Cricetulus griseus: one gene and its partners. The protein of the gene in region 2 interacts with the protein of the main gene of each other region in a pairwise test. Links are inferred from orthologs where the notes say so. Each region holds a gene or a part of one and is shown on either strand. Other genes may lie near its edges. The genes, in order: Ing5, Nav2 and Rbm15.

What was found.
Region 1: the proteins of Nav2 (region 2) and Ing5 interact in binary tests that used the Homo sapiens proteins (3 or more experiments, as listed by UniProt). The two-hybrid records come from large-scale screens. The link is inferred for Cricetulus griseus from reciprocal best matches to the Homo sapiens genes NAV2 and ING5.
Region 3: the proteins of Nav2 (region 2) and Rbm15 interact in binary tests that used the Homo sapiens proteins (3 or more experiments, as listed by UniProt). The two-hybrid records come from large-scale screens. The link is inferred for Cricetulus griseus from reciprocal best matches to the Homo sapiens genes NAV2 and RBM15.

The regions. Positions count from the first base shown.
Region 1 is NC_048595.1:445,247,187-445,253,710, reverse strand, and holds part of Ing5 (inhibitor of growth protein 5), read right to left. Parts: intron 5,486-6,524; coding exon 5,350-5,485; intron 5,232-5,349; coding exon 5,170-5,231; intron 3,287-5,169; coding exon 3,244-3,286; 3' UTR 1-3,243. UniProt on the Homo sapiens protein: Component of the HBO1 complex, which specifically mediates acetylation of histone H3 at 'Lys-14' (H3K14ac) and, to a lower extent, acetylation of histone H4. Component of the MOZ/MORF complex which has a histone H3 acetyltransferase activity.
Region 2 is NC_048596.1:146,269,371-146,276,701, forward strand, and holds the start of Nav2 (neuron navigator 2), read left to right. Parts: upstream 1-2,460; 5' UTR 2,461-3,200; coding exon 3,201-3,458; intron 3,459-4,933; exon of another isoform or gene 4,934-5,764; intron 5,765-7,331. UniProt on the Homo sapiens protein: Possesses 3' to 5' helicase activity and exonuclease activity. Involved in neuronal development, specifically in the development of different sensory organs.
Region 3 is NW_023276806.1:49,811,393-49,818,666, reverse strand, and holds the start of Rbm15 (RNA-binding protein 15), read right to left. Parts: upstream 4,825-7,274; 5' UTR 3,916-4,824; coding exon 1,056-3,915; intron 1-1,055. UniProt on the Homo sapiens protein: RNA-binding protein that acts as a key regulator of N6-methyladenosine (m6A) methylation of RNAs, thereby regulating different processes, such as hematopoietic cell homeostasis, alternative splicing of mRNAs and X chromosome inactivation mediated by Xist RNA.

The DNA of each region.
Region 1 (6,524 bases), on a different chromosome or scaffold from region 2:
CACCTCTAGCATGTTCACAGATCTTAGGGCTCAGTTTTTTATTAATTCATCATGCTTCTTCTATAAGAAACTGGAGAAATTCAAACTACTGATAATATGCACAGGAAATAGAGAAGATTCCTCTCCTCTTAGCAAAACACTCACGTACTTATAAGGAAAGGGAATGACATAGTGAGGACCCAGCCTTGGCTGCCATAGTGACCTGTGGGGTCACCCTACCCACACACTGTCCAAGAAGCAAGGACAGCTCAAGAGTCAGGTCTCGATGGGCAGTCGTGAAAGAGTATCTGGTCCAACGATGGAGACAGCTAGCTAGGGCTTCCGGAAAGGTGCCCAGCGGCACAGCACCCGAGCTGGAGCTGCTGCTTGACTTCTCCTCGAACATCCTCCTTCCTTGCTCACAGACAGTAACAAAGGGACAAGCACTCCATCAGTGTGTTGGCGAGGACACAACAAACTTTCCTTCCTGCTTCTCTGTTGCTGTTTCGTTGCCAAGGATCAAGCCTAGACCATCATTTTTGGAAGGTGGCTTTGCTCACCACCACACAAACAATGCTACACTGAGCTTCACACAAGGTAGGCTAATTATTCCCCAAACCCATGAACTCTTTTGTTTCCAAGCTATTTGCATCTTATTGGGGGAGGGGCATCATTATAACTGTCAAAAGAAGGGGGGAAAAGCAGATAGAGAAATTTGCAAAAATAAATAAGTCAAAAGTCACTATGTAGGATGGCCCCAGGTGGAAGTCAGGGAAGCCAGCATGACCTCAGGAAGCCAGAAAATGGAGTGTAGCCAGCCTCTAGCACCTCCACTAGGAAACGCTCCTCTGCCTCAGGCTGCATCTCAGGTATTACTCAGCTGCTAAGGCATTATCAGGCAAGATCTGATTTAAAACTTCTTGTGCTTACAGAAATTACAAGAGGTCCAGATATTACAGGTGGCACATGCCTATAATCCCAATATTTCATGGCTCAGGCAGGGTGACTGCTAGTTCAAAGCTAGTCTGAGCTACATAATTAGGCCCTGCCTCCAAATAAATTAAATTAAATTAAAGGATGCATGAGGCCTGACCCCTAGGACTGAAGGGGAAAAAAAGCACTCGGGAGGTAGAGACATGCAGATCTCTGTGAGTTCAAGGCCAGCCTGGACTACAGAGTGAGCTCTAGGGCAGCCAGGACTATACAGAGAAACCCTGTCTCAAAAAAGCAAAAAAAGAAAAAAAAAAAAAAGTTCTGGGTTTGGTCCCTAACATTGCAAAGCCAGACCTGTTAGTGCACATCTGTAACCTTAGCATTTGGGAGATGCAGGAAGGACGATCAAAAGATCAAAGTTATCTTCAGCTACACTGTGAGCTCAAAGCAAGCCTAGGATACATAAGACCTGGTCTTTAAAATAAAAAGGGAAAAGGGAAAAACAAAACAACAAAAAAAACCACCTGTAACTTATCCTCACAAAGCTTTAGAACAACAAAAGGCTAAGAAATGAAAATGTCTAGCTGATGGTGGTAGCGTATACCTTTAATTCCAGCACTCAGGAGGCAGAGGCAGACAAATCTCTGAGTTCAAGGCCAGCCTAGTCTACAGAACTAGTTCCAGGAGAGAAACCCTGTCTCCAAAAATCAAAAACCAAACAAAACAAAACAAAACCAAAAAATGAAAATGTCTATCACATCTAAGCCTGAGAGGTGGTCCTAAAGAAGAAAGCCAGCCCCTCAAACCCAGAGACCACAGGAACCGCATTTCCAAAGCTCCTCCTAGTCTGGAGACAAGCTTACACTGTTGCTTAGCACCTGCTGCCCAGGAAAGGTCAACATGGACCAACTTACTCAGTAGCACGAACACAAGCCATTCCTGTCTCTCTCTCTCTCTTGCTGGGACAGGCTGTGGAGGACACCCTGTCCAGTAGGAACATGACCGTGATGGCATGATGTGGAGCAGATACAACTTCCTCTGTTTTGTTTCCTTTCCTTGGATAAAGTGGGAGGGAAACCTATCTACTTAGACATGACCACCTTAAAATAATGTGCCTGTCTTCAGATAAAAAACTGGCGTCTCCTTAAATTGGAAATTGTGTAACCCAGCTCTGTTTTGTGGGTCGTTTTCTGGCGTGAGGCCAAGGACAGGCCTTCTTAGTTCTCAGAGAGCCTGAGACACTGGGAAACATACCAAAGTCAAAGGAAACCCTCATGACCCTGTCACACTTAAGGAGCCACCACAGGTACACCTCAACAGGCCCTGTGTATATGTCCCCGCCCCCCAAATATTTCCAAAAGACAGTTCAACACTGGTTTTGTGAACACTGGCTAAACAAAGAATAACTCTAGTTTCCTACCTTCATTCTAGAACTGCTATTGGGCACACAAATTCACAAATCATGTCACGTAATTGTAATCCCCCTGAATGTAGGCTTCCTGGTCTAGTGGGATGCAACACAGCAGAGTTCTAAAATCAGCTCACAGCAGACAGACTCACGTCGGAGACACACAGACCCATGACCTTCATGCTATTACAATAATTTCATCTTCACAGTAAAAAAAAAAGTCAGGAATTCCCAGAGAGGTGGAAGCTCAGCCTGGCTGTTTGTCCGCTGTTGGGCGGTGCTGGTTGTGATAAGGGACAGTCCAAGGCTAATGGAAGCTGACTCTCCAGGGAGGGCTGGAAGTTCACACTGAAAAGGCTGGGCATAATCAGAGAGCACTTCCACCTGGGAAGAGCTGCCAGTCCTTTCCAGACACATCAGAGGTATGTTGGCCAGGAGTCCCTGGGCTTCGGTCAGGGTCAGAGCATAACATGGGACAGCGCCTGATAACATTTTGCTCACAGAGCAACAGCTGTGCTTCCATGAGGCCACAAGACAGTCCTGGAAAACATGGACACTCAAGGCTGACCCTCAAGTCACAAAACAGTGGCAGTACACCAGGTTAAAACGTGTTCACCCTGCACCACGCACTTGGCCTACAGCCCCAAGTGACACTCACCACAGGTGGTGTTGCCTTTCCCAGTGCTGGGAGGTTGCAGGAGAGGGGAGCCTGCATGTAAAGTCACCGTGGCAAGTCCCTGTGAGATTGTTCTGTGCAAATGGTGCAGTGGCTTCTTATTTTGGGAAATATCCAAAATGACAACTGGCCACTGGATTTTTAAATATCAGTTGAAATAAGGTAGTTTTAAAATGAAAGATAATATTGCAACATGAGTGAAGAAATATATTAGCTTGCTCTTCAGTCTGGCACAACAGCCTCTGCTCTACTTCTTCTTCCTCTTCTCCTGAACACATCGTGGACAGAACCTGTGACAAGACAGACACGGGGTCAACCTTCTGCATCGTTTCTCCTGGCACACAGGACACCCAAGTATAGACTTCCTACATCCCCCAGGGAAGCCAGAGGACAGCGAGCGACAGCAAGTGGGAGGTGCCATCTTTCTGAGGAGAGCCGGCATTGGAGGCACTAACTTGTCCATGGCTGAAGTTGACTGGTAACAGCCCAGCACAGCCTTGTGATCAAGAAGGTAAGGCTGGTCAGAGATTGAGGTGCCCACCATGAATGGGACACCAAGGGCTGGTGGACTGAACATGCTGAGGACTCTGTGTAGACACAGCCTGAGACAGCTGCACTGGGCCTTGGAGCCTGTATAGGTCCCACAGGTCCGAGTGCTGCAGGTCAAGCACACATCAGAGCCTCAGGCAGTGTTCATGGACACTCAAGAACATGTCAGCCACTCATGATCCAAAGGGACAATCTAGTAAGGTCCCATGTGGGAGACGGTTCTTTGACACACATTATGGCTGACATTACTTCCCACCTGTGCTACAGTGACCATGTCAGTTAGACCTCCCTGTCCCTCTGAGGAAGCCCATGCTGGTAACCTACAGAGACACAAACTGGAACCCCACTCCCCAGTTCTTGTGTCTAGCCCTGGGCCTAGCTCTAAGGTTGATGTCACATCCCAACAGTTTTGCCAGTGCTGTCCCACTCCCTACCTGGGGATCCTGCAAACGATGCCCCATGTCCAACTTGAACTCAAAGGTAGATCCTGCTGCCTCATGAGCCTACTCTTTTCCCTTTCCTCATCCAAGTAATCACCATCCATCAGCAGCCCAGCCACACACCTGCTCTCACATGCCCACTGCCAGCGCAGCCCAGCCCACTTCCACAAGGCATAGGCACAGCCATGGCACCTGCCATATGGTTCTTTTATTTTATTTTATTTTATTTTATTTTGGCTTTTCAAGACAGGGTATTTCTGTGTAGCTTTAGAGCCTGTCCTGGAACTCACTTTTAGACCAGGCTGGCCTCTAACTCACAGAGATCCACCTGCCTCTGCCTCCTGAGTGCTGGGGTGAAAGGTGTGCGCCATCACCGCCCTGAGATATAAAACAAGGAGCCATGCACAGTAGGTATGCCCACTAAGGTGGGATTACATTCACACCACACACATCATAAGCGTACTGACCAAAGTCCTTGCAACACAGCATCCACCCCTCCTTTCCCAGGTGACTCTCAAACTGGCTACAGGCTGATGTTACCATGAGATGCTCCAAGTGTTCCTGCGAGGAAGGCCCAGTTCCTACTATTTCATTTTAAGAACATGCATCCATTCTTAACACAAGTCAACAAAACCAGGTTTTTATTCAAATAAAACCTTGGGAACATCTTGAATAGTAAGTAGCCTCCTGCTGACCGCATGCAGGATGGAAAAAGAATGCATAAGCCTATGCTGTGGTAGATGGAGACCCCTGGGAGGGAAAACACCCATTCTACAGGTACTTCGCGTGTTCTTCATAATTTTTCCCTGGAGATGAGCACTTCCTCTCCTCGTCTTCACTTAAAATAACCTCTACCCAACATGAGCCCGAGGGTGAAGGGGACAAGTTCAGTGATAGAGTTCTGGCCTGGCACACTGGACACACACTGGGGTGGAGGTATGGAGGGAACCCTTCTTTAAAGGGCTGTAGTGTAAATACTATATACACCCAGGTAAGCTGAGCAGTAGATCGATCTCTCTCTCTCTCTCTCTCTCTCTCTCTCTCTCTCTCTCTCTCTGTAAATTTGCTGCCGCCACCGCCACCCCTCCCCAGACAGGACCAATGCTGAAGAAGTATGGAGACATACAACAAGACCCAGAGCACCAGACAGGCTTGCCCAAGGCTGCAGTCACCCCCATACTAACCACTTTCCTTTGGGCTTTGTGGTGAGATCCACGCAGGCAAAGTGAAACCACTCAATTGGACACTGCAAAGCAAGGGGGAAAGTCTGGTCACACCCGTGCACTCTGTTTGTTAGACACAGAGAGCCTCCCACCTGCCCGGATCTACAAGGTGTGTCCCATTATCCTTTGAGATCCACTCACGTCTGGATTGTCACAGCCAATCATCTCCCCGTAGGACACCTGGTGGCACAGGCAGTATGTAGGCTCATTCGGATCCACAGGCATGTCCAGCACGTCAGAGGGGTGCACAGAGAGGATGCTGTCAGTAAACTCAGACCTGAAGAGAGAAAGGCTCTGCTGACAACAGGGCACCAGAGGGAAGGCAGCAGACTCGTGAGGCCACACTGCAGCCCTCCCACCAATGGCCAGGGCGCCTCTACCCTGGAACCAAAGATGCGTGCAGGCTCCTCTAAGGAAGCAATCTACAATGTCTCTGGATTAATGATCACCCATAAACTTGCTTCCACTTTTCTTGTTACTGGGGCCCGGGAACAGTCCTAACACCCATCACTGGGATTCATCCGCAAGGATAACCTCAAAACCTTCCAGCCAAATCTCTCCTGAGAATTTATAGTGAGGACGATATGGCGTGCTCATTATCAGTTGAATAGAGTCCCTTGAACTAATACCAGCCACAAACCTAGGGGCAGCAGCAAACAGCAAACAGAAATCACACTACCCTCATATCAGCAAAGGCTCCAGAGGCAGGCAGTGGGGTCTGGAATTGCTAACAGCACTCACTAGCAACTAAATCCAACACCAGCCATTGCTGTCTACTGGGGACAAAGACCCCTCCCACAGAACAAGGCTGCTGCTTTCCCTGGACTTCCCTTGTGTGTCAGCTGCCACCTCCTGAGGGACAAGAACAGCCCTACCCCACCCCCGCCGGCAGATAGCTAATATCTGAGGAATCATCTGTGTCTTACCCTAGGCTGACCTAAGGGTGGAGGCACTCACCAGCTCTGATGGAGCCAATGGACTGACAGCCCTCCTCCCCTGACAAGGGTCAGTGCATCCTCGGCACCTACCCCAAACCACACACTGGCAGCCCCTCCTAGCCTTCTGTGAGTTCCAAGTATCCACCCATCAACCTCACCCAGCTGCCCAGCAGGCTAACAAGAGCCAGCTTGGTACACACTACCCTGCTCACTCCCCAGTGCCCGAAGCTGCCCCTGGGCTCTGAACAGCAGCCTGGCAAGAATCCTACTCCTTCACCTTCCCCCGTAACTGCTGCCAGCACAGCACTGCCCCACCCTTTACTGTAGAGCAGAAAACTTAACTTATTCTTTACATGTATTTTTCCGTGTACACTGTAG
Region 2 (7,331 bases):
TGTGATTCTTGTGCATATGAAGGCTTAGCGGGCCCGGAAGTTCACTGAATACACACTTCACCTGGCTAGAATTCTCAGCTTTAGTATGCATCAAAATTTGTTAAAAACACAGATTACCTACCCCTGACTCCTTACCCTCTGGGAGTGTTCAATAGGATGGGATGGGACAGATGGAGTGTGTCAAATTAATAGGTTTTTCTGTTGTTGCTCTGGGGACCAGACTTTGGACACTCACTGCATCTGAGCTCTGAGGATATTTGGGGATAGTTCCACCATCCTTAACAGTGGATGATGGCAATATCTTCTACAATTCTTCATACAGCTGGGAGAACTAGTGTTCAAGGGGGAATGTAGTATAAGCCCTTTTCATTTTGATATGCTCCTACTAAAAGGCAATCTCACCATGCATTCATTCAGTAACAATCTGGGTAGCTTCAGTCCATAGCATTCTGCTCAGTTCTGACAGAATCTCATGAAGGTCAAAATATGGTTCTTCAAAACATTTATTCCTTTCAAAGAGAGCACATGAAACACTAAATAAATTAAATAAACAAGACACTAGCATAGGAGGCCATTCAGATGGGCAAGGCCAGAGTGCACCGGGTCAGGGACCACTTGTGATTTCATTTCAGAGAGCAGGACTTAGAGCTAACACAGGCTATGTGCATTTCCCTCTAGCTCGGGTAAAAAGTCCCTGCAAACAGAATGGGTGGGGGTGGAGAGTACCATCTCACCTCTCCACTCTCCAAGGGCAGTTTTAAAACTCAACTTTTGCTTTGGTCTGGGGTCTTAGTTGAATCTACTATAGGAAAATGATGTAGACAGTACAGCTTAAATGACAAACATCTATCTCTCCTAGGCCTAGAGGCTGGAGGTCTGAGGCCAGGCTGTAGCCAAGGTCAAATTCTTGTCAGGAGATGTTTCTGAGGATTGGGAAAAGCTGCCATTTCATTATCAGAAAGCAATCATCTGTCTTCATCCCATCTCCTCCTGTAATATGAGCATTGATCCCATTGTGAGGATTCCTTGGTCATGTACTCATTACCTCCCAAAGGCTCCACTCACTGCCTGATACAAGTTGACAATTAGGGTGTTTTCCAGTACTGGGCACATGTATATACTAAGCAAGCAAGCAAGATGTCTACCACCAAGCTACCTCTCCAACCCTTTTTTTACTTTTATTTGGACACAAGAGTCTCATTAAATTGCCCTGAATTTGGGATTCTCCTGCCTCAGCCTCTGCAGCAGCCAAAATTACAGGCTGTCACTACTTTTCCCAGCCATGTTAGAGTTTTGCCAGGGATACAGTCAATAACATTAGGAAGACTGAAAATTAACTCTATGGAAGTTGTAGAACAGGCTGTAGGGTAGGAATACTGGCATATTAATAACTGGCACACCCTGGCATATTAATAACAAAGACACAGCCTTTTCTGGTCCCCTACACTGGCAGACACTATCTCATTTAGCTGGAGCAGTGCTTTTAGGGAAATGTACTCAAACTTGACTGCATGAGACAGCCACAGTTTTAGAAAGACTGAGAGTGGGTAAAGTTCCGAATTTGAATTCAAATACAAACCGTTCTCCAAGTAGGCCTCCTCCACGATCAGCCCAGGACCATCTATCTATTTTCCCTTCAGCTCTCAGATTCTGTGTCGGAGAGGAAGGGATCCTCCAGCGATTCCAAGTGGAGGAACCTGTGGTCTTGGCACGTCCCAGGAGCAGCCAGGCAGGCAGGCCTGTATGAAACGATGCAACCGGGGCAGGTTTGGCCTCAGTCTGCCCAGGTCACCAAGGCACTGTAATTACAGTCTGTGGTAGGTGACGGGAGGAGCTGTCTTGGGCGCGAAGCTTCCCCGGCCATTGTATCAGCCTATAAATACTTCAAATACTTAAGTGCAATGTGCAACCTTTGAATGTCCCAGAGGAAGCTGTTGGGAGGCCCCTGGGGCCGCCCGGAAAGGAGAAATGACTGGAGTGTCCTTCAGGCAGTAGACAAGGAGACCTGCTCAGTCAATCCCGATGGAGGTGCAGGGAGGCTGGGGCGTGCCTCCGGAACCCACAAACCGTTGAGATGACCCAAGCCATTTTGAAAAAGGGAAACCGATTTCCCCTGACAAATGCCGGGCGGGGGTGGGGGGGACGGAGAAAGGCGGGAATCAGTGTTCCAACGGCGTTTGCGGGCGGCTCCGGGGACGCGGGGGTGGCGACCCGCAGGGAGGCGCGCGCCGGGGCCGTGCCGCAGAGCGGCCACCAGCTCGCTTTGTACTTGCGGCCAAGCGCGGCCCCAGAGTTTCGGCGGCGGCCCCGTGAGTTGAGGCCACGCCCCCTTGCAGTGCGAGTCGCGACCGAGGATTGGTCCGCCTCGAACCAATGGGCGCGCGGGAACGGCCCGGGCTGTCAGCGCGCGCCGCAGCCGATCCTCCCCTGCGTCCAGCCCTGCAGCCCGCGCTGCCTTCCCCGGAGCTCAGCTCAGCGCAGCGCTACCAGCCCGGCCAGCTGCGCGACCCGGTGCCCGCGCTCTGCCGCCACCGCCGTGCTCCTCTCGAGCACACGGAACATGGGCAGATCCGCTCAGGTGCTGCGTGTTCCAGGGGCTTATGAGCAGCGGTGATCGGCTGTCACGCCCAGACAAGACCTTTCTAGGGAGATCGCCCGCGTCCGCTTCGGCGCGGATGACACTGCGGCGTGCTGGCAGGGTGACAGCCACCTTGCGGTTGAGACCTCCTGTGCTCCGTGCGCCCTCCGTTTCCCCATCCTCCGTTCATTTACTCCGCTGTTCACACCCGCAGCCTCCGGAGCGCGACGTGTGCGTCCCTAGCCTATGTCTTTTCCTAAGGAGCCTCCACACTTCGGAGACGCGATGACAAGTTAATATGGGCGTCCACGCCTCGGTTTCCCAGGAGAAGAATTGCCAGAGGCGGTAGTCCCTGAGCTTCTGAACAGGCCGCCCGCTGCGACATCCGCACAGGTGGGACCTGCTGAGGGCAGTGACCAGCCCGCCACCCCGCAGGCGCGCTCGCAGGATTTCCCCAGCTCCCCAGCCCGGGGATTTTGTTTTTTTATTTTTTTCCTCCACTGTTGGTGGGCGCCTCGCGGGCCGAAGCCCGGCGCCTGCTCGGCTGCCCGCGCTGCCTTTAGCGGTCGCCTCCGCAGCCGCTGCCAGGGACGTGCTGGGAAAGCCGAAGCCCCGGGAGAAGATGCCGGCCATCCTGGTAGCCTCCAAAATGAAGTCGGGACTGCCCAAACCGGTGCACAGCGCCGCGCCCATCCTGCACGTGCCCCCGGCCCGGACTGGTCCCCAGCCCTGCTACCTTAAGTTGGGAAGCAAGGTGGAGGTGAGCAAGACGGCCTACACTAGCCAGATCCCCCTGAAATCGCAGGGGCTGCAGGAGCCAACGGGGGAGGGGCTCCCGTTGCGGAAAAGCAGCTCTCTGGAGAACGGGTTCGATACCCAGGTGAGCAGTGCTGTGTGCTGGGGTGGTGGTGGGGGCACTGTTGGGGTTGTGGTGGTGATGGGTGATTTTTCCTGGGGGAGAGACACGGATGCCTGGAGAGGCTACTATAATGTACTTGGAGAGAGGAAGCATACCCTTTTAGCTGGCAGATTGGAAGGTGGGTGTGGCCAGAGTGCCAGAGGTTCGCCCAAGGAGCTCCACAAAGCTGAGGGGTGCTGGTAGCCTGCTGTTTCTTTGGGGTTGGAGCAGGTGTAGAGGTGGTATCAAAAAGCGCACGCTGACATTGGAAATGTTAGGACCTGAATGCTGAGTACTTGACCCCAAGGAAGCCGTGTCTGTGCTGGGATGTGTGTCTATGTCAGTGCCTTGGGTTGTAACCCGTTGAAGGAATGGTCTGGTGCCTCTTTGGATTGGATACTACCTGGCCCAGCTATGAGATCCAGGACAAGGGATGCTGGGTGGTTGCTCTGAACCTGCCCTCCTCCTAGCTTGAAGATGGCTTGCTCCTGTCCCTGTCCCATCTTTAGGGAGAAGGGATTCTGACCAGGTGCTGCTGACTGCTAGCTTGCTGGAGCATCTTGCTGTTGCCGTAGGGGTGGCTTGGTTGTCTCAGAATGGCTGCCCAAGCTGAGCCCCTCCTTATGCTGTCAGTGTTGGTGGCTCTGGTGATTAGGGAGATGTTGGTGTGGGTGAGAGAATGCCTGGAAGAGAAACGGTGACTTCTACCTTTCCGGGCAGAGCAGGCACCACCCCCACCCACCCTCCACTGGGCTGGGTGACAGGCCTTGGCCATGCAATCTCTTTTAAGGAAATCCTTAAGGGCCAATCAGTTTCTCTTGGACTTCTGCCTTCCTCCTCTTCTGGCAGGAGGGAGCAGGGGCATGCTGTATTTTCTTGGCTGCCAGTCAGCAGGGACTTTTTAGGGACAGGCCGACCTGACGGATGTGACTGTCCCAGTCAGGAGAGGAGAGGCTTCGGGAAGCCAGAGAGGGAGGCAATTTGGGGTTGGTATGGGAGAAGTAGCCACAGACAAGCTGACCTTTAGAGCACCTACTACTCTGCTCACAGAGACTACCTTCTGTAGCTTTCTCTGATCGGCGGTTAACACTCAACACATTCCTTGCTTTCTGATGGAGGACTGGAGCTAGAAGCTGGTTGGAGACAGACTGTTGGAACTCAGGGCCAGAAAAGGCCCTCCCCACACAGGCTCCCACACCCGGCCCATCATCATGTCCCTCTTGATGCCGCACTTGCTAAACATTTTTGGAAGCTGACAGCTTTGACTGATGGTGTGTGGGAGGGAGGCAAGATTTCCTTCAGTGCTCCTGGGCCCTGGCTCTGCTAGGCTGTGTGCTCTGCTCTTTTTCTTATGGCTACAGGACTTGTCCAGAGGGCTCTAAAGTGAGGGTGAGCACTGGGGTGCCTCCTTCATCTGTGGGGGTGGAGTGGGTGGGATTTTGGAACAGTGACTGAGAATGTGACACATGCCCTGGAGCCTGATGAGGAGGACCCTAGGAATGAACGGAAAGGCAGATGTTGGCTCATTCAAAGCCAGACTGCTGCCTGCTATTGCCCATTTGACCCTTCATTTAACAAACATTGGCAGAGGATTGCGGTGGGCAGGCTCTGGGAAGGTGATTCACCATTTAAAAAAATTACTCCTAGATTTCTCCATGAGGGGCTAATTTGGCGCTATTCCCTGGAGGCCCTGCCCGCACCACCCCACATTTCATCCCTCTTACTCTCCATGGGTCCTCTGCATCATGAGGGTGATTTGGATAGATGGCCCAGGAAACTGGCCACCTTCCAACAAACAGTCCTGCTTCCCCCCTTGCCAGCCCCTGGGTCTCCTAGGGGCTCTTCTATGTAACAGGCACTCATAGCCCCACCCTGACATCAAAGGGGCTTTGGCAAAAGGATTTCACCATCTTTGAACAGGGTATCCCCATGGTGACAGACATTGCTCATTCACCTTCCAGAAAAGTCCCTCGATTATGGCTTGAGGACCTTGACTGACTTGGCACCTGGTAATTTCCTGGTCCCAAACTTAATGTTTATCATTAGAAGACACTCAGGAAATGATAAACTCAGTGACAAATGATATCTTGGAGCCGTTGGTTGGGGGATTTTTGGCAGAAGACTGGCTTGGTTGTTTAGTGACTAACAGCACAGGTTTTAAAGCATTGGCTATCAGTGCTGCCTTCTATCTAACATGACATGCTGGCCAAGTGGCCCAGTCCTTTAACTACTCCCCTGGGCCTCAGTGCTTTCATTTGTAAAAATGGGTACAAGCAGCCACAGGAATTGTGAGTATTAAGAAAAATTTTGTATTCCAAACTGTTCACAAGTGTTTACAGGCCTCTGGCTCTGCCTGGCACAGTTCCAGGCTCTGTGGGAGGATGGGGGGAGGGGGAGGGATTGACCTGTGGAATGCCTGATGTGTGTTAGGCTCTTTCCATAGGATCTCACTGGTCTTCACAGGAACACTTAGAGTAGGTGTGGTGCTTTGGCCATGTCCTAAGATATCAAGAAAGTAAAGAAGGCACCCTTGCCTTGTACTTCCTAGGTGCCAGGAATTGTTCTGAATTGTTTTGAATACAAAACTCCTTATGCACTGGGCATTGGTGGCTCATGCCTTTAATCCCAGCACTCGGGAGGCAGAGGCAGGCGGATGTCTGTGAGTTCGAGGCCAGCCTGGTCTCCAGAGTGAGTGCCAGGATAGGCTCCAAAGCTACACGGAGAAACCCTGTCTCGAAAAAAAAAAAAAAAAAAAAAAAAACCCTCTTATTCGATAAGGATAATCATCCCATTTTATACATATGATAAATCAAGGTTAAATGGTCTCGGGAGCAGCAGAGTTAGTAGCATTAGAACTCAAGCCCCTTAACTGTGTTGCTGGACAGGGAGAGCCACAGCAGCTGCTGGCCAATTATAGACCTTGAGTTATCAGACCATAGATGGCACCACTGACCCATATTGTCCAGTGTGGCAGAACGGGAATCCCAGCTCAGGTGCTTGTCCAGTGACATGCCCACTGTCCATCACCACTGGTGCTGTGGCAGAGCTGAGGACAAATAAGGCCTGGTCTTGGGAATGATATATCCCAGGTAGAAGGCATGACTTCTGCATCCAGCAGAGGGCAACACTGGGAGAGCTAGAAATGTATTGAGGCTGAGGAGTCAAGATGCTGGAAGTAAGACTAGTACCTCAAGGGCTGGAAAGGACCATGGGGGCTCACAGGGGAGGCAGGCAGGAGATGAGCTGGGCCTCAGGTGTGGGCAGGAGTGCCTAGTGGGGAGGAGAGAGGGAGGCCAATGAGAACAAAGGTTAAGCTGCCCTGCAGTGGTGCAGACCCCAAGTGGATGCTCTTCTGTGCGTGTTCTAGATTGGGTGCTTTCCATTTCACGTCAGGGTATGAGGAAGAGCAGAGGCTCAGCTGTCACAGTACTGGATGCTCGTGCTGGCTTCTAGTGGACAGTAACTGCATATAGGCCAGTGGCAAGAAAATGGGGAGATGGTGTCTGCTACAGAACCTGGCTCTTAGGAAGAACAACAATGAGTGCTGTTAGCTTGGGTTTCAGAGTGTTTGACATGGTCATTATAGGACAAAACTTTGCTGTTTTCTTTTTTGATTACTGGGTCTTTCACTCACTATGTAGATCAGGCTAGCCTTGAACTCGAAGAGATCCACCTACCCCTGCCTCTCAAGTGCTGGGATTAAAGGTTTTTGCCACCACACCCGGCTTCATTCCTATTTTCTTACCTAGTAATTCCATTTACTTCATGAGTTTTCACTCATCTTCCCCACCCCATGCATGAGCTCCTTGCAAGTCAATAGCTATTAGAGGCCAGCCACTGTTGTCAACCTCCGAC
Region 3 (7,274 bases), on a different chromosome or scaffold from region 2:
AAAAGAAAAAGAAAAAGGGGTTTCTAACACTGACACTTCAAACCTCTATAAGGCCAGAGAGCAGTCAAAATACTAGAATACTAGACATTAAATTTCAAAGATATTCAAAACACTGTCAACAATGTAATGCCACTACTCTGGTTTAAATATGAAGATAAAATATGAAGGAATTTTCTTCAAATATATCAAGGGCATTTTACAATAACCTTAAAAAAAATCTGTAATTCAGATGTTTGATTAATGACCATGGGAGTGGGGGGGGAGTTACTTATAAGCCTGCAGACAGCTGTTCTTTCTATTACTGGAATCAGAAATTTCTTAAATGGATACAAAAAACTTAATTTTTGGTTTTGAAGTATACACAATTAAAACTGTATTTGCTGTACCCCTCAAAGTCAATAAAAACACCACTGTGCACCTAACTTACCAAAAACTTCTCATTTTAAAAGCACTTACTCATTTCTTGCAGACCAGCTAAAGATGTAAATGGTTTATAACACAAGCCTCAATTTTTACCAATTACAGCTACATACACAGGATACAAAACTCAAAAACTAATGACATAAATGTTAAAGCAAGCAAACTTTCTGGGAATAAGAAAAATACTCAAATACCTGATTAAAATAATTGAACTTTGGAATACCTGATTAATGCTTCTAGTATAGAAACTATCTATGCACCAATCACACTATTTTTTCAGTACAAAAGGCTCTTTCCTCCAAATTATGATTCTAAAAGTTGTAGGTTTTATCATTTTGAGGATTTTTTTTTAAACTCAAGAGACTGAAAAAAAAAATACCAGAAGAAAAAGAAAAGTAATTCCTAATTAAAGCAAATCCATCCTCTTGCTACCTTCAGGGCATCCCTTTCACTTAAAATAATAGCTAAATCGCCCCAATATCTATTTTAAGGAGGTTTACAAAAATATATATATAAAAAAACCAACTAAACTAATTGAAAGAAATTTATCTGATGCTGTATCCCATTACATATCACAAAACAAGGAACCATGTCAAAATAGTAAATACAAGTTACACATGGACTTTAGGACGCACCACGAACAATGATCATGACCAGGTAATCTTCTTCAGATTTGGCCAGTGCCTTGGCAGGGGAATCCAGGAACTGCTGAGAGAACTCACAAGGTGGGAAGGCATGAAGAACCCCTGTGTTCTCCTTGTCTTTGTTGCCCCCCACAGGGAGGCTGATCACCCCAGCTGCCTGCTTTTGCTTTAAATAGGACACAAGGTTCCTAAGTGGCCTCTGTGTAGAGGTGGCAGTGTCTGATGTAGCTGACGAAGAGGAGGATCGGCTGTCAGAACTTCCAGGTACAGCCAGAAGTATGGCATAACCATTGGGCCCTGCCACTTTGATGCGACGAGTTACTTCATCCAACTTGGGCTGGTCCAAACGGAGACGCTGAGTGATCTTGAGCTGGGCTACTTTGCCTCCAGTTGAACCCTCCACAAGTAGACTGCTAGCAACTTGGAGGTCACCCTGCAATAGATGCATGTTGGAAGGGAAGTTGCTGTTCTTCAGTAGAAGCATGCCCTGCCAAGCCAAACAGAGTTTGGGAGAGGATGCTGCCACAGGAGCTGTCCCTCCATCCTGTTTCTGGGAAGGAGCTTTCTGCTTTGATGATGACGCGCTGGCACTGGGTGCATTGCCATCAGAACGTTCTTCCTTTTTCAGAGGGTTTTTTCCCTCTGTGGGAGCAGCTGTCCGGTGCTTCCTATCCCGTTCAGCTGATGCAGAGTTTTTACGGTCTCGCTTGTCACTCTGGCTCTTCTCCAAACTGCCCCGTCTATCTCTGATTGGAGAGGGCCTTTCCAAAAGAAGACGAGAAGATCGATCGTTGTCACTGTTGTAGCGATCTCTGTTACTGCTCAGTTCTGGACTTCGGTCAGGAGAAGGAGTGCAATGACGTTTTCGTGGCCGGTCACTCTCAGGTGATCTATCCAGATGCCGTCCTCCACTTTCTTCAGGCAGCCTTCTCTTCCTTGGCTGGTCCCTGCTGCTAGGCAAATCCCGATCACCTCTGTCCCTGTCCAATGACCAGCCATCCCTCCTTCGATCCAAGCTATCCAGTGGCTCATAAGCAGTCACAGCACTAGCTGCAGCACGAGCACTGCGTTCTCGAACTGGTGGTGGGGGTGGCACCCAATCAGAATCAGTATAAAGGTCCCGATCACGATCTCTGTATAGTAAGGGTGGCGTCCTATCCCGAGCACTCCTCAAAGGGTCAGGCGCTCGATGCCCAAAAGTATCTGTCACTAGTTCATAATGAGTCAAGGGCAGAGGCTGAAGATACTGCTGCTGGTAACGATGCTCTGTGTCTGCAAAGTCTACTCTAAGGCGACGATCTGGGCCACCGAGTGGGAATCCACGCATATGGGTCCAGGCAGCATGAGCTGCATCCAAGCTTTCATACTGTATATATGCCCAACTATCACCTTTTCGGTAGTCAATGGTTCGTATGGTGCCAAATCGATCAAATTCTCGTGCCAGGGCAGCAAGAGGCACCCAAGGTCCCAGGCCACCCACCCAAAGTCGGGTGGTGGGTGTGGCTTTACCATAACCAATCTTGATTGGATTCCGAATTATAATTTTGCCAGACATTGCTAGTTTGGCCCTGTGAGACATGTCTAGGTTCTCAAATTTGAGAAAACCATAGGTACTGGTCTGTCCACGAGAAGGCCTCTTAATGTCCACTTCTGTGATGACTCCGAAACGATCAAAAGCCCTTCTTAGATCATTTTCTGTCACAGTGATGTCTAAGTTGCCCAAGAAAAGTGTCCGGTTAGCACGCTGATCATCCTCGGGCGAGATCTCATCCACTTCTCGGAAAGGAGCAGCACCTGCTCCAGCTCCCACCCTTGGCTCAAGACTATAAGCTGGGCGCACTCGGTCATAGAACGGGTAGTCTCGTTCTCTTTCCAGCTCTCGGGGCAATGGTGGTGGGGGTGGAGGCGGCAGGCGGCCAAGAGCCAACTGCTGCAACCGGTAGTCTCTGTATCCCAAAGCAGCACCGCCAGGGGAAAGTGATCTCTGACCTCCACCTCCTCCAGGGGCGTGCCTGTGGCTACCGACAGAGGTTCCGACCACGCTGGACGACGGAGGGTAAGTATCTTTGTCTAACGGGGAGCGGCTGCGGCGCCGGCTCACGTACACGGCTTCTATCTTCAGAGGCCGGTCATAGAGCACCAGGCGGCCTCTGGCATGCTTGGCCGCCCTCGCGTCCTCTGGCCTCCGGAAGTTCACAAAGGCTACCCGCTCATCCCCGCTGCCAGAACCCGAGAGGTGACTGATCTTGACACTTACATCACCGAAGCGTTTGAACTCGTGAAACAGGCCGTCCTCCACCGCCTCGTCGCTCAGCTGGGACCCCAACTCGCTTATCTTCAGGGTCTTGTACTCCACTCCGTCCCCGCCGCCAGGCGCTGAGGAGGCGGCCCCAGAGGAACGTGACTCCCCGCCTCCACCCCGGGAGCTGCTGCGCGACTCGCCCCCGCCTGAGGAATTTTTGGTGCTCGGGGAGCTGTAACTATGCAGGCGGCTGCTGGAGCTGCCCCCACCGGTGTCATACTCGCGGCTGCCACCTCGGCTGCTGGACTTATCCAGGTGAAGGCTCCGCCGCGACCCGCCGCTGTCCGTCTTCCCGCTGCTGCTCCCATTGCTGCCGCCAGAGCCCCCTAACTTCTTGCTCCGCTCCCCACGAGAACTGGAGTCCTCACCGCCGCGGGAGCGTTTGGGCTTCACCGGCGAGCGCTCCTTTCCTTTCATTGTTGAGGGTCGCCGGAGGTCGTCTCTGCGGAGCTGACTAACCCGCCACCCCGCGCTCGTTTCACACAGCGGACTCGCACGCCGCCATCTTGGACTCCGCCGCGGCAAAGGCTCCCGCCCCGCAGACCTCATTGGTCAATTAATTCACTCTTCAGCCTTCTCATTGGAAAAACTATTTGTCCGTCTTTACATCTCCCCGCGCTCCGGGAAGGCGCCCGCCTCGACGCTGTTATTGGGTTCCCAACGCCCTAATCCGCGTACCTCATTGGTTATATTCGTTGTCTATCTTAACGGTTCCTCGCGCCAGCCGTAGCTCCGCCCCTCGCACTTCACGGTCACCTGACCCGAAGCCTCGAGTCGTTGATTGGACAAAAAGTCTGCCCTGTAACGGTACTTCTAGCACGGCGAAAGCAGTGGTCCCACCTCCTCTTTCCTCTCATTGGTCCGTGGCCACGTCCTTTAAACCACTCCTTGGGAAGTACGGACTTCGGTTCTGGCGTTTTTTTCTGAAAACTTGGCTCTCCCGATCTCGCGAGACACAAAGAGCTCGCTCGCCCGCTCGCTCCCTTTCGACCCCAGTCTTCCAACTTCTCCGGCGGCCGGAGGAAGTTTAAATCTGATTGGACGTTGGCGAGGAAGCTGATAGGGTAACAGCGCTGTCCATCACTTACTTAAAGGAGTAGGCCCACAAACCGAGGCGTCTGAAGGTGAAAGACTAGAACACGCGCTTGCCGTGCGACGTCACTTAGCTGTCGCGAGACGGTGACAGCGAGTCGGGCCCGCCTCCCCGCGCTTTCGGCGTTCTCTTAAACATTTGTTAGGTCCTACGGCGTACTTGGCTGTGCTTCGGTCCTTCGAGTCTGGAACCCGCAGGCTCCGCACGGTCGGTGCTGTCTGGGCCGGACAGTGGGCCGGGTGGTCCCTCCGGCTGCTGGCCCTCGATCCCCTTAGGCAGCTGTCCCGGGAAGTCCAGCCGACACCATCTTAGTTAGCAGCCTGGAAAAGCCCCACCCCCGTGCGCGAGAAAGCGCCTGCCCGGGTCTGTGCAGCTGGCCGGGGCGGCGAGTTCAGGGTTCACTGAGCCTCGGGTCACGCTGACGCCCTGGGCGGTACCGAGTCTCTGCCCGCCCACCCGCGGACATAGGAAACGGCGCCCCGGAGACGTGGCCGCCCCAGGGCTCGCGGTGACCTGTGTTCACAGCCTCCAGGCCTACTGGTCCGACCTGCGGGCCACTGCAGACCTTCCCTGGCGCCTGTTTTAGGTTGTGAATCCCTGTAGGGTTTGCATTTGTAAAAGCCATGGAACGTGATATCGCTGTGCTTACCTTTAATATGTAACGCTTCTCGCTGTGCGGACACTTGACACTTTCTCTGGTTTCTTGTGCCGCAGCACTCCCGATTAATTCCTACTAGGATCCAGGAACACGGGCACTTTGCTACCTCCCTAGGCCCACCTCTTTAAGTCTTTTAATCATGATCCACTTCTCAACTCCCGGTACACCATCCAGGTACCTTTATTGTGTGTTGGGTAAATTTGTGCAATACTGTTGGATCATGAGACTAGACGGGTAGTCTGTTGCACTGGCATTTGCCTTCTGGTGAAGAGAAATAGGCTTCCTGCAGTCTCCCCAAGAACATTCCGGCCAAAATTTCTTGATCACATCAAAGGGATTTGAAAGAAGAAGCCCAATCAATATGTTAACTATAAACCTCCAAATACTGTAATGCACAGATATACTTGTATTAAAAATAACTCTTGTGGGGCATTGTGGAATAGCTGTAATCCCAGCTCATTAGCCTGAAAACCTCAAAACCACTCACACACAAAAGAAGTCTGGAGACTTGGGCACCATGTATGAAGCTCTAGATTCAAGCCCCAGTACTTGGGGGAAAAAATGGGTTTTAAAGTCTTATTTTTTTCCAGGCAAGGTGGCTCATACCTTTAACCCCAGCACTCAGGAGGTAGAGGCAGATGGATGGGTCTCTCTGTTGAAGGCCACCTTATCTACAAAGCGAGTTCCAGCTAGGGCTGTTACACAGAGAAACCCTCCCTTCTCAGAAAAACAGAAAAAAAACAAAATGACAACAACAAAAGACTATTTTTTTTAGCAGGACATGATGTACTCATTTAATCCCAGCACTTGAAAGGCAGGCACAGGAAGATGTCTGTGAGTTCAAGGCCAGTTTAGTCTACATAGTGAGTTCTAGATCAACTAGGACTATATATTGAGACCACACACGTGCGTGCTTGTATGTATGTGTGTGTTTGCATGTATGCTAGTATTCTGGTGTCCAGAGAAGCGAAAAGAGAGTGACAGATCCCCGGAAGATCCCAGAATTGTGAGTCAACCTGAGCCCTGGGGAACAAACTGCAAGTAATTTTAAAACAGCAAGTAATTTTAACCCCTGGGCCATCTCTCCAGGCCGGCAAAAATAATTTTTTAAAAGGCTGTTAACATAAAATACCACCAGTCAGAGAAAAATGTGTATGATAAACTACCAATTGTGTTTTTTAACATTGTATGTGTATCATATACATATGCTTGTATTTTTTTTTCTTTTTGGTTTTTCCAGACAGGGTTTCTCTGTGTAGCTTTGGAGCCTATCCTGGCGCACTTGCTCTGGAGACCAGGCTGGCCTCGAACTCACAGAGATCCACCTGCCTCTGCCTCTCGAGTGCTGGGAATTAAAGGCGTGCGCCACCAATGCCCGGCTATATGCTTGTATTTTTAATTGATAGTTACAGAGATTGCTCTCAGAGACAGAGCTGAGGATCTGGAATTAGCAAGGGACTTTTGATATTATAAATGAAAATTTTCCTTGTATAATTTTGGTTTAAAAATATACAGTAGTGTTAGATCCCCGGAAAACTCAGGTATCCGGGGCTTCGGTCACCCCAATCACCAGGCAGATCCGAGAGCATGCTGCAAACTGCATGAGGCTTTATTGTAATTTAATGAGCTAACCCCATGTTAGCTGGGGTCTTTTACCCACCCGCCATGGCGGATGGCTAGAAAAAGACAGCTCGGCTTGCCCTGTGTTGATTGGTCAACTGGTTGTTATGGCCCATAGGCCCTCCCAGGGTGGTTGCTATGCTTTGTGGGTCATTGCTGTGCACTTGTCCGTAAAGCACACACGCAGGGTCGTAAAGCATAGCGCCACCAGCTAACTTCTGATTGATTCCTTGTCACAAGGAAGGCATCTGACCTCTAAGTGACCAAGGCAAGTTATGGCAAGCATATATTCGGCTGTTATGGCTGCCGAAAGGGAAGCTAGTCCCTTCAGTAGTAGAATATATTTTGAAGACCATCCTATCTGCTGAGCACACAGTCTCAACAATTGTAAGATCATGTCAATCGTTTTCTTTAAATCTACAATCCTATTCCTATTCTTCCCTGCTCCATTATTTTGTTCCATGCATACTTGATACAGTTTCTGCCTCAGATGTAGAATCCATCATTCCTACATAATGAAAAAGCTTTTCAGAGGTG